Bombyx mori: one gene and its partners. The protein of the gene in region 1 purifies or fractionates together with the protein of each later gene. This does not show direct contact. Links are inferred from orthologs where the notes say so. Each region holds a gene or a part of one and is shown in the gene's direction. Other genes may lie near its edges.

The links.
Region 2: the proteins of rapamycin-insensitive companion of mTOR (region 1) and target of rapamycin complex subunit lst8 purify together in Homo sapiens (affinity purification with western blotting; 14 studies listed by BioGRID and IntAct, with this or other methods). This does not show direct contact. The link is inferred for Bombyx mori from reciprocal best matches to the Homo sapiens genes RICTOR and MLST8.
Region 3: the proteins of rapamycin-insensitive companion of mTOR (region 1) and Ywhae purify together in Homo sapiens (affinity purification with mass spectrometry; 4 studies listed by BioGRID and IntAct, with this or other methods). This does not show direct contact. The link is inferred for Bombyx mori from reciprocal best matches to the Homo sapiens genes RICTOR and YWHAE.

Annotation. Positions count from the first base shown.
Region 1 is NC_085128.1:9,698,423-9,702,638, forward strand, and holds the start of rapamycin-insensitive companion of mTOR, read left to right. Parts: upstream 1-1,332; 5' UTR 1,333-1,534; coding exon 1,535-1,574; intron 1,575-1,705; coding exon 1,706-1,985; intron 1,986-2,555; coding exon 2,556-2,687; intron 2,688-3,711; coding exon 3,712-3,887; intron 3,888-4,216. UniProt on the Homo sapiens protein: Component of the mechanistic target of rapamycin complex 2 (mTORC2), which transduces signals from growth factors to pathways involved in proliferation, cytoskeletal organization, lipogenesis and anabolic output.
Region 2 is NC_085114.1:11,954,700-11,959,140, reverse strand, and holds the start of target of rapamycin complex subunit lst8, read left to right. Parts: upstream 1-1,493; 5' UTR 1,494-1,767; coding exon of another isoform or gene 1,768-1,899; 5' UTR 1,900-2,226; coding exon 2,227-2,409; intron 2,410-2,500; coding exon 2,501-2,650; intron 2,651-3,151; coding exon 3,152-3,213; intron 3,214-3,622; coding exon 3,623-3,776; intron 3,777-4,275; coding exon 4,276-4,441.
Region 3 is NC_085122.1:14,131,471-14,135,576, forward strand, and holds the start of Ywhae (14-3-3 epsilon protein), read left to right. Parts: upstream 1-1,164; 5' UTR 1,165-1,275; coding exon 1,276-1,339; intron 1,340-4,106. UniProt on the Homo sapiens protein: Adapter protein implicated in the regulation of a large spectrum of both general and specialized signaling pathways. Binds to a large number of partners, usually by recognition of a phosphoserine or phosphothreonine motif.

The DNA of each region.
Region 1 (4,216 bases):
TGATGAGCTGAAAGGGAGCATATGAACTCTGCGGAGAATAAGCGGACACGATAGGGTAGGTAGGAAAACGGGACTTACTTGGAGGCTGATGTTGGCACTATCACGGTCGTAGTGGTGTTTCTCTGCGATGGGTGGCACATACACCTTTTCACCGGTTCACACTATACCTTTTACTTAGTATCGAAAGGCGCGCGCGCACAATTTACTCAATATCGAACGAGCGTATCTCCGCGTGCCGTCATGTACCGCACTGTTATGAGAGGTGCGGGGTGCGTACGGGCGACGGCACCCGAGTTGAGCCGAACATTTACAAACGTCGCGCTGTCGCGCGAACAGTAACCAATGTTACAAAATAGTAGTATATTTTGTAACTTTTGTTTGTATGCTTTATTATATATTATGTTAAATATTCCAAAAACAAATAAATATTTGTTTTTCTCTAACAATTTTAAATGTTTTACTAAGGGTGACACATAATGACATTACATTAAAAAATGCTAATTAAATTTCTTTATTTCCAGAAAATAGAAACATCCGATATTTTTTTAAATCCCAAGGAAATAAATTGATTAAATCATTTTGGTTATTAATTTTTTTTTCCAAAAGTGCCAAAATTATAATTCGCAAATAATGGATGAATTGAATTTCTTGAATTATCAATTAAACAGAAAATTATGAATTAATAAAAGTAATTAATTATATAGAACAATCTTGATAAGACTAAAAAAACCATTTTTCACTTTCAAATTTTGCCACCCTGGGCACTTGCCCCGACTGCCCTAAATGTACACCCACCATTGGTCACAGATGAGTTAGTTACTACGCCACTGGTGGAATGACGAAGTTCGACTTTGCAAATAGTATATAAGCGTATATCACGTATATCGTATATCATACATCGTATAATATTGTAGTTCGTATATCGTATATGTAGTTCAGTTGATATACGTATATATTATACGTGTATCAACTGAGCTGCAGTTCATTAAAATACCTATACCTTTTTCAGTATTTTTATGGCTTCCAAAACAACCACACCGCTTCTGATTGTAATCGATTGTTGAAGGATAGCTACTTGATCATGAGTATGGGGCTTTGTAAGTGCTTAGTGCGAGTTTTTTAACTTCTAGATCGCGTAAAAGTTGCCTCAAATTTGTGTGGAGTTGGAACAGTTCCCCTACGTTTGCCGCTAGAGTTAAAAAGCTCGTACAAAGCACACTTTTGCTAGTTGAAAATCATCTTATGGGAATTTATAGAATTGCAATTTCATTTGCGTCTTTGACAAAACAAAAATTTCACTTAGCATAGATCATACTTAAACATTTTAACAGTTTGTCAAATACGTCAATGAATGTCAGACGTCTAAAAAAATCAAATGTGTGGATTTGTGATGTTGGTGTGCGAGGAAAACAGGGTTGTAATTTTATTACACTTTCTGTATTCAGTTAATTTATTTTAACCCTGAGAAAAACTAATTAATTAGAGCGGTGACTATTTAACAATATCGAATTTAGCTTGTGTTTTTGAAAATGAGATGATGGATTTATCCGAACACATTTTGAATCGAAGGAGAGGTAATTTATTTGTAGAAATTACATTAACGATTTGTTTAATTTCTACGTTAATGTTGTTTTCAATTATATTGACTTCGACTGTTACTATTTGCCATGCAGCATAGACTATAATTTTTCATCACATATTTTAGGAAAACCTGCAAGTGATTTGTTTAAGTTGGACATCAAGAATAGAACTCCGGAAGAGAATATCAGGGACATAATACAAGGCCTTTACGTAAGAAAATCAACACAAAATGATACATCTCCCTCCTACAAAACTGTGCCTACGGAATACAGGTCAGGATTTAGAGGCATGCACAGAAGTAGTACTGATAGCAGAAAATTGGCCTACCTGAATGCATTAGTAACATTGTTATGTAAAGAAGAGAGAAGCAACCTAGGGTTTACTCCTGATGAGTTGATGGCATGGTAAGAATTATGTATTAAAATTATATTGTTGTGACAAAATTTCAATACTGAATCTTATAAGCTCAATAAATATTCTTGTATCATAGCCGAAACTCATTGTTGTATGCCATATTGTATTGTAAGTATTTAAAATAAAATAGGGTCTTTAACAAAGTTATTGTTACTTATAATTTGTCACAAAAATCACACTAATGTCAAATTGTAAAGTTGTATATGGTTATATATATTATAATTTAAACAACTTTTAAGTTTTTATCTTACGTTTTTCATTATTTCTGATGTTTTTGTAGTCATGTATGAAAAATATGTTGTCAGCATTTGAGTATTGTTAGTCGACCTTCAACTAACTACTTTTTGTTTTTCTATAATAATATTTCCACACTAATGTTTCATTTTGCACAGAAGATATTAATAATCTTGAAGTATGTCAGTTTGTATAACTTAAACTGACTCTGAGACAGTAGATTTAATTATGCGTACAACTTATGAAAACTGAAGGAAATATTAACATTTATTTAGAGAATATGAAACATAAGTAGGTATTATTTAAAACATATTTCTTGTTTTCAGCTTGCGTATTAGTCTTGTGGATGAGTCTATGGTTATTCGAGCTGCCGCTTTAAGAGTCATACGTCACTTGTTGAAGACTGATTATGATGTCACTATTTTCAATAATATGAAATTACCCTACCTCGTTGTAAGGTAAAAAATAATAAAGCACTTTTTATTGTAAAACTCTTAAAAAACTGTGTTTTAAACTGGAGATATCTATAAAACAGTGCTAAGATGTTGCTGACCCCACGTATTTTTATTTTAAGCCTGTTTGTTTTTGTTAATTGGTTTGATTCAGTCTTTTCTCATACAAATTTCTACTGCTGCTAACATGCTAGCCGGAAAGTGATGACCATAAATAAAGGCCATATTGGGACCCGCAAAATTATAATTTGTGTAATTACTGGTGGTAGGAACTCTTGTGAGTCCGCATGGGTGGGTACTACTGCCCCGTCTATTTCTGCCGTGAAGCAGTAATGCGTTTCGGCTTGAAGGGTGAGGCAGCCGTTGTAACTATATTGAGACCTTAGAACTTATATCTCAAGGGGTGTGGCGCATTTATGTTGTAGATGTCTATGGATTTCAGTATCCACTTAACACCAGGTGGGCTGTGAGCTCGTCCACACATCCAGGCAATAAAAAAAAAGTTCATAAAATGATGATTAGTGCTTAATAAGGTTACATTACTAATAAATGTAATTGATCACAAAACTAAGCCAAGGTGCTGATTCCATAGTCTAGGATTGAGCTACTTCTCAGAGGTCTTTTCATCATTGTAGTTGCACAAATATTAACTCTAAACTGACAAGTTTTTATATTTATGTTAATATACCCTTTTCCTTTTACATACTTAAGTGTTAGTAGTATAACATAATTGTTTTGGCTATGCCAACACTACCCTCATACCTAGTATTTCCTAAGAATAGAATACCTAAAAATAGATAATTGACTGTAAAGGCAATACATACAGTTGAAAAATGAATAGATTGCATTAATCAAAAATAATCAATTTGATATAATTACTGTGTCATGTTATGAACAAATTTCATAAATAGAAGTTGCCATGTACATTGTATACACAAAATGTACATAATAGTAGAGTTAATACAAATAACAATTATTGAAACTGAATATGAAGAAAGTTTTCAAATGTGAGACTATCATGTTTTTATAGATCTATGGAAGTTATTATTCGCAATGAAGAAGAACGTGCCCAAGCTATGCGTGTTGCTCGGCGGGCGTGCACAATGAGAGCTGCAGCAGCACTTCTTCGATGTCTAGCTGCACTTGCAGCAGACCCTACAGCTGATCGACTATCCCGTCCAGCTGTGGCCACATTAGCAGAGATAAGTAAGTTCAAAATACTTAATTAAGAAGCCTTGGCTTTGGGAATTAGTAATAATAATATCCTTTATTCTGATAGACTTACTAAACAGAGTATCACTTGGAAACCAATCTTAATTGTTAACCGTTCTCTTAAACTAAATGTAAATTATAATACACACATACCATCAAACGAAATGTACTTCTTAAACATGCTTTTATTAACTTGACCTGTATCTATCTAATGTTAACAATTCAATGCAATTTTCACCAACTTTAAGGTGTCTAAAAATCTTGAAATACTTCATTTTAGTGAAATTATTTACATACTTAATCTATCGGATGCATACTTTCAT
Region 2 (4,441 bases), on another chromosome or scaffold:
ATTTGCCACTACTAGTGTGGAAAAGGTAGGGAAACCAGTTTTATTTAGGAATCAATTGGAAGGTTCGAAATTTGGAAAGGATATGTACGTAATAGGATAATAATATATAATAATGCCTAAGAGTTCATAATATATAGTGATTGGGTATAAATAAAAAGAATATTATATTTTAAAACTGTTTACATTTTAATATTATTAATAATGTAGGGATTGATGTGGGAAGAGGAACTCGGAGGTTTATCAGGGAATTTATGAATGAGGAACAGTCACGTAGGAGGCATCCAAAGAAAATGTGATTCAAGTCAGGTGAATGAAGTTAGCCCCTCAAAAAATTTTTTTTTCCTATTTTATACTTATTTTCTATTAATTCATTTGTTCATGATTGTTCACTGTTAATAATTGTTTGTTCTGCATTTATTTATTTAAAAAAAAATATTTAAAAATATACCTACCAGTTAGCCCCTCTAATGCAATTTTTTATATTTTTTCATCCTTAATGACTCGTAAATATTCATTTTCGATTGTTCTTATATAAAACACGTTTGTCCTCTTTCGAAATTACTCGTTTTTTGTTTAATTTACTATTTTTATTAGTTGAATAAATGTATGCAAAATATGTGTACTGCGCATGCGTCAACTATAATGCCTAAACTTTCTACGCGGTTTTAATCGTGAAAAAAAAACAAATATAAATCCTGAAGGAGCAATTAATTGGTATACAGTTTAATTAAAAAAATTAAAAAAGAAATAAATGAAATAATGTGTATTGGCGTTAAGTTAGACCAAATACATTTTTTCCATCCTCCTACTTATCGTTATGAAGGTATAAAAAAGATAGGGAGTTCACATAGGTAATATAAACAAATAAGTAAATATGTTCATTATTTATCTTTCAAGAGATAATATAGGTATACATTATAATAACTTTTTTACACAGTCGAAATTATATTCCTAACATTAGTAAAATAACATTTTAATACGATAGGTAAGAGGATGGAAAAAATGTATTTGGTCTAACTTAACGCCAATGCACATTATTTCATTTATTTATTTTTTAATTTTTTTAATTAAACTGTATACCAATTAATTGCTCCTTCAGGATTTATATTTGTTTTTTTTTTACGATTAAAACCGCGTGGAAAGTTTAGGCATTATAGTTGACGCATGCGCAGTACACATATTTTGCATACATTTATTCAACTAATAAAAATAGTAAATTAAACAAAAAACGAGTAATTTCGAAAGAGGACAAACGTGTTTTATATAAGAACAATCGAAAATGAATATTTACGAGTCATTAAGGATGAAAAAATATAAAAAATTGCATTAGAGGGGCTAACTTGTAGGTATATTTTTAAATATTTTTTTTAAATAAATAAATGCAGAACAAACAATTATTAACAGTGAACAATCATGAACAAATGATGAACAAACGAATTAATAGAAAATAAGTATAAAATAGGAAAAAAAAATTTTTTTGAGTGGCTAACTTCATTCAACTTTGAATTACCTGTGCTGTGTTGTTTTGGTTATGTTTTGACTTTATGAGATGCATTAGTTAGAATTTACAGTAATATTAAAAGCGCCCCGATAATTCGGTTCAAGTATAACGTAGATTATATCACATCATACAAGATTTATGTTGCTCGGAAAGTTCGAAATTAAAAATTAAAATCCGAAATTTCAAAATTACCTGGCAGTTGGAAATAAAAAAATGTGCTTTTAAGAAATAAATATGCCAATTGCTTAAACAATAAGTTTCATAAAATGGCTGGTGATACCACTGCTTCTCTTGGAGGATCGCAGGTGGCTTTAGTAACAGGAGGCTACGATCATACTATCAAGCTATGGCAGGCACACAGTGGTGTTTGTTTACGAACAATGCAGCATCCAGATTCGGTACTTCATATTTTAATGTTTCGGTTATTGATCTTCTATAAATGACCAAAATGACTCAATTCATTTCCAGATAACTCATTCAAATCGCTCCGTAAATTTGCATGATTATTTTAAATTTTCATAAAAAATTGATTTGGAAATTTCGCTTTGAATAATAACGAGGGCTGAAAGGCTATTTGAATTAAGCGATATTTCGATTAATACGCGACATTTATCTTTGTAATTAAAGGTCCATTTTATTTGGTATTAACTATCACCAATTCAATGTTTTTGATTGAACATCAATTAAGCTTACTGCATCCAAATAGCTGATGGACTTTTTTTATTATGAGAATTTTAAACTTTAAATGGCTCTCCTGTAAAGTTGCAAAAATGTCCAAAAAAAGAGAATTACCTAAACGATTAAAACTGGTCACGACAGTGTCAGATAATTGTGAGCTAAGATTTAATACAAGCAGACCACTTTGTACAAATATAATTCAGATTAACATGCCAGTCATCTTTTGTGAGGTAACTTAAATTAACTTTCGTGATATTTTTACAAACTGATTATATTATGAAAATCAGCTAAAGCTTATTGCATGACGAGTTTTCCTTTCAGCAAGTGAACAGCTTGGAGATCTCACCAACATCGATGGTAGCAGCAGCTGGATTTCAGCATATACGGTTATATGATCTTAGTAGTGCCAATCCAGACCCGGTCACAACTTTTGAGGACATCTCCAAAAACGTATCTCGAGTTGGGTTTCAGGTATTATGCATAAATTCAATTAAAATTTGTTGAAAACAATATATACATGACCTTCAGGTAGATTATTTGTGACCTAGGTGTCACTGACAGTAAACTACAGGAAGTACGTGTCTTTAATATATGTCTCTAAATATTTGCCAGGAATAGAAAAAAAAATATATTTCTTTTCTCAGTTCAAAACTCATTCAGTTGAAACTGGATCTTCAGTGTCCTTTAAATATTTGAGATCTCACTGGCATAGGAATTACTATAAATCTTTGAGATTATAATTATTTCTAGGGCAACAATTTGAAAAACACACAAATTGTGTCGACATGCAGTTTTTAAACAAAAACTGATGTTAAAATCAGTTATTCATTTTCAAACAACTTTTCAAGATTGTTATCTTTTAGAAAAAAAAAAAACTATGTATATTTATGATTGGATATTTAATTTGTGAACACATCTATTACAATAAGACAAGTCATTAATTTTTTTTTTTTTTAAATTGTAACTTTGCAGAAAAATGGCACTTGGATGTACACAGGAGGTGAGGACTGCACAGCCAGGATATGGGATCCCAGGTTAAAGACGCTATGTATTATATCAACCAGTTATTAGGTAACATCATTTGTGTTTTCTAACCTTGGCCAAATGATGTTTGGAGGTTTCTCTGATGCTAGATGACAATGCAGCACCTTATATCATTCGTTATATTCGTGCTTATTATAAAAGATTCACCAACTGATATTTACTGGTGGTATGAAGATATGATTCCTGCTTTAAAGCTGTCAAGTGTAATGCTAATGGTTATGGAATAAAATCAAAATTTAGATCATAGAAGCTAATAACTATTTACACTAGGAGACCATGAGGTTGTCTGCTGATCTCTGAAATTAAACTTTAACTTTTATTGAGTTTAAAAACACAATTTACTGACTGGACCTAGAAAGCTTAGTATAGAAATTTTAAAGCGGCATGTTTCTCATGTAGGGCTGCACCACGTACAAGGTGTCAAAAGATATTCCAAGTTCAAGCTCCGGTGAATGCAGTAATGCTTCATCCTGATCAGTCCCAGATAATGGTTGGAGACCAGAGTGGCATTATACATATATGGGATCTGAAAACGGATCAAAATGAACAACTGGTAACTTTACTATATATATTTTTTTACATCCACTATCAGCTGAGAAGCTATAATACAGTATGTTGTGGTGAGCTACAAAAGTGAAAGGAACACTCTATCTCCGCATCCTATTCAGTAGTGTTCCTGCATAAAAAGCTGATGCCAACATGATATCACCAATATGCTCATAATGGATATATAGAAAGGCTACTGAGGTATTTACTAGAGAATGGCCAGTAGTATTTTCTGTATATTATAACATATTTCTGCTGTCCTTAATAGGTTGATTGATGGTTGGATGTATTATAAACCCACTTGTGTATGGACCACCATCCTACCTTTTTTTTTCCACGAAACAATCATCAGTTTTGAGCATTTATGTTTTATTGATAAGCTCTAGTAATTGATCAATCATTAGCCAAGTGCCTGTCCAACCACATAATTCAATTTAAATAAACCATGTTTATTTCATTTACATGTTACACATAAATATTATACTATTTATCCTTATTTTTGTTAGATACCAGAAGCGGAGGCGTCGATTCAGGACATAGCTATTGATCCAGCCGGCAAGATGATGGCGGCTGTTAATAACAAGGGCAACTGCTACGTGTGGTCGTTGAGCGGACAACCACCGCACCCTGTGCCCAAAAAACACATTACTGCACATTCTAAATATGCTTTAC
Region 3 (4,106 bases), on another chromosome or scaffold:
ACCAGCTTCCGATTATTTTCTGTTTTTTTTTTCCATCTGAAGCCTAGCTCTTTCATAATTCGTCGTAAACTTCATTCCGAGCTATTAAAATGTATATCTTCTTTAAAATTTTCGAAGCCTTTCTACGGTACGGAGTTTCGCTGCTTGTTATGTAGTTATTATGATTACATCTTTTTATTACAGATTGAACGAAACTATCCATTCCGGTAACTTTCTTCTTCCCTGATCTTTTCTTACCCGGAGTCCCAAGCACGACGAGCAAGCCAGAGCCTTTAGCTTTCTTTGTTAATAATGCACCTAACAGTACTCACTGATGTTTTTGTTGCTTCCGAAGTCTGTTTTACTTTTTCATAATATCATTCTTCCCCTGTTTTATAATGAAGCAATATACGTCGTACACAATTTTTCTGCCCTTTCTTTTGAATACTACACAAGTTTGTCGCGGCATAGTGTATTTTTTATAAAAAATCAACAAATACTCAACAAATAGCAATGGCAACAAAGTCAACAAGCAATTATAACAAAATTTATTAACGATTAATAACGATAGACTTTTCACTGTACGCAAGCGTACTTTTGGGAGCAAGCGGAACGAAGGCGCGGTGCGGGACGCAAGGTTCGACTGATCTACCAATAACGCGCTCGATACGATTTCCCCTGCCGTCGCGCCTCACCCTCACCACCAAAGTGATCTAAAATTCGGTTCTGCGCAGTCAAGGTCATTTGCTCACGATGTTTGCCGGTTACTATACTGATCGCGCGTTTCTCTCATTATTGTATTTTCATATATTTGTTAGTCGTTTGTTTTGTGTCTCGTTAATTTGTTAATAATCTGTAGTGTATCGTGTTGTCGTAATATAGAACTATTTCTCGTATTGTTTCGTTTAATTTTTTATATCCAGTAAACTCCAGTCGTGCGTCGGAGCGGACACACACACTTTTTTTTTTTAAATTACAGTTTTTATTTGTTTTTTTGCCTGAACTTTCATGAATCTAAGCTTATTAGAATAACTTTATTTTATATTGGTCAAAGTAGAATAGTAGTAATAAAAATGTAATTTAACCTTCCTTAATTTTTTCATTTCAGTTAAATCAGTAGTTAAATTACTTTTTATCTGGCAGCAAATGTAGAACGGAAGCTGCCTAGTCTATGACGTCATGGGCGGAGTTTAGTTGAAGATCGAATTTGGATTCGGTTGGCGGGCGCGGCCATCTTGGTGAATAAGTGACCTGGCGATTCGGATTTAGTTAGTGTAAAATCATTTGTCATCCACAATGTCGGAAAGGGAAGATAATGTGTATAAAGCAAAGTTAGCTGAGCAGGCTGAGCGCTATGACGGTAAGCATATATTTTTACTGTAATGCTATCATTCAGTCGAAGATTCTATCTTATTTTCGCCGACAATTGAAAAACGATTTTAAGATTCTTTAGAGAATATCCTATGTCCAAGACGTAATTATCATTTCATTTATTTCAATTTTCTATTGCAAATAGCCTTGTAGGTCGCAGTTTGTATATTTGATAATAGAAAAACGAGTCAATGGTATTCATTAGGCTTGGCCTGCGATCGATGCGTCATCCACCGGTGGGATGTCTTAGGTTTTTTACATGAACAAAAACGCTGAATCCATTCTCAACCTGAAATAGAACCTTCATGGTTCAGTTACGATAGTTTTTTCAGTTGTAGAATCGCAACTTTATGACTGAAAGTTTCCAATAAAAGTGATTTTCAAGAATTTGTAGTACCGTTGACCGGGTGTCAGAGGATCTGGATCGATGCGCCACTGGTTTTCTTGTATGTCTGCTATTGTGATCCAGACACATTAGAAACATCTTAGTTATGACGTAGTTTTATGGCGCCTTAGATTTCACCTATTGTTCACAATTTGATGCCACGGGAACTGTCTCCTTAGGGTTTTACAACGATTTCGTCTAACTATATCGCTTTCTGTTAAAGTATTATCATAGTTTTCTGTCATCTTCCTCATGAAAAACTCGGGAGTAATAATTGAAAGTCTGTGAAGGTCCACGGTTCAATGACCTTAGTTACCATTATCATTGAAGAATATCATTGTCAATCTTATCAATGCACAACATGGATGAAATATGAATGACTTGTTACACAACTGTTACACTTCATTTTATTGAGTGCATAAAGATTTTTCATCTTCATCTATCTTTCATCTGCAAAAAACATGGGTGGTATTAGATATGACATTCAATTCTAATTTTTAAAAAAGAAGCCCTAGGCCATCCTTATCCATTTCATCATGGGTTCTAAGTATTGAATATTGCTCTACATACATAGTGTGACATAGAGAAAATTGTAACAGGTTGGTCTGCAATCAGTACATTATTGATTATTTTTATGAACCACTAAAAGTATTGTCAGTGGGACTAAAGTTGACCACACCCTTTTATGGCTTGACCTTCAGCCAATATTTTGCAAGTGTCTTTATTTCATATGAAATTTATTGTAATTTAATTTTAAATATAATTGTGCTAATTTGCAAGTGAATGTCAAACTTAAATGGATTTATAAATTAGAAAGTCTCATTATGTTAGTCACACATATTAAAAGTATGACTTCATTGGAACTTGCCGCATGATGCTATGACTAATATTAATAAAATAAACTTTCAAAAAATTTGAAATATCTATGTTGAAAATAATTTTTGTAGTGTACACTGAATGAGGTTGTAAATTAGAGGATGTTGTATCAGTTCGTACTCATCACATGTGACTGCTGACTGTAATCATTGGCTAATATTTAATAGTGCTACATTGGAAGCAGTGTCTAAAAATTGTAGATTGTAGTTAAAACAAGCCTCACCACGATTGGTCCTGCACTATCTGCATCATTTTGGTGAGGCTTGGGGGAGGTCTATGTCCAGCAGTTGGTGTCTGTGGGCTGAAAGATAGAAGATAGACGTGGTTAAACCAATAGTATAATTCTCATATTTATTTTTAATTCAACTTTTATTTATTTATTACTTAGATGGGTGTACAAGCTCACAGCCCACCTGGTGTTAAGTGTTTACTAAAGCCCATAGACATCTACAACGTAAATACCGCCACTCACCTTGAAATATGAGTTCTAAGGTATAGTAGGTAGTAAGGTATAGTTACAACGGCTGCCCCACCCTTCAAACCGAAACGCATGACTGCTTCACGGCATAAATATAGGCAGGGTGGTGGTACCTACCCGTGTAAACTCACAAGAAGTCCTACCACCAGTAAAACATTACAACATTATTTTTAATTAGGAGTTTTTAAAATAATAAATTCTAATAAACTACATGGCTATATACGTTGGTAGAAAGTAGTGCAAGAAAACAATGTGTGTAGTTGTGTTATAAATCAAGTTTTTTCTTGAACACGACAGGATAGGATGGCCTTCTATTTTGAGGTGATTTTTCAGTAGTTTAGTATGTAACTTTCATGTCCTACTGCACTTTTTAGATTTTTTGGGTCGTACATAATTATTGACTCATGCAACAAACACTTGAAGAACACATCACACACATGCTCTGGTTAATAATTGTGTTAACCAACAAACATGCAGAGGAACCAACTATTTCTGGGAGATTAAAATTGCATTGCAACAAATGCAATGCAGATGAACTTTTTTAACATATAACTTTCTGCATGGGTAACAATAAGATAAATAAATTGGAATTTTAAGAAAGTGTTATCCCCTTACACTGTCTTTTCAAATTACCATTACATCACATTCATTAACTTGACTGACAAATTCAATTCAAACCTCTTTAGAAATATTATATTTGTATTAAACAGTGCTTACTGAGCAAATGAGTTGATTTGTCTAATTTATTTCCCATCTTTATGATTGTTCTTAAGTATCCTATATAATTGTAAACAAAACAATGATATGTTTATTTTCCTTAATAATCTAAACACCTTAAAATGTAGAATAGACTCAGTTCCAACTGCATTAGAAGAATTAATGTAATTAAAATGAATATTATACATTCAGAGACATTTAGCATACTTTGATGATGCTTTAGGGAGGAAAAAATCTTATGTTGATTGGTCTGATGGCTCAGACCAAGATGCCTATAGGCTATGTAACGAACACAAAAGA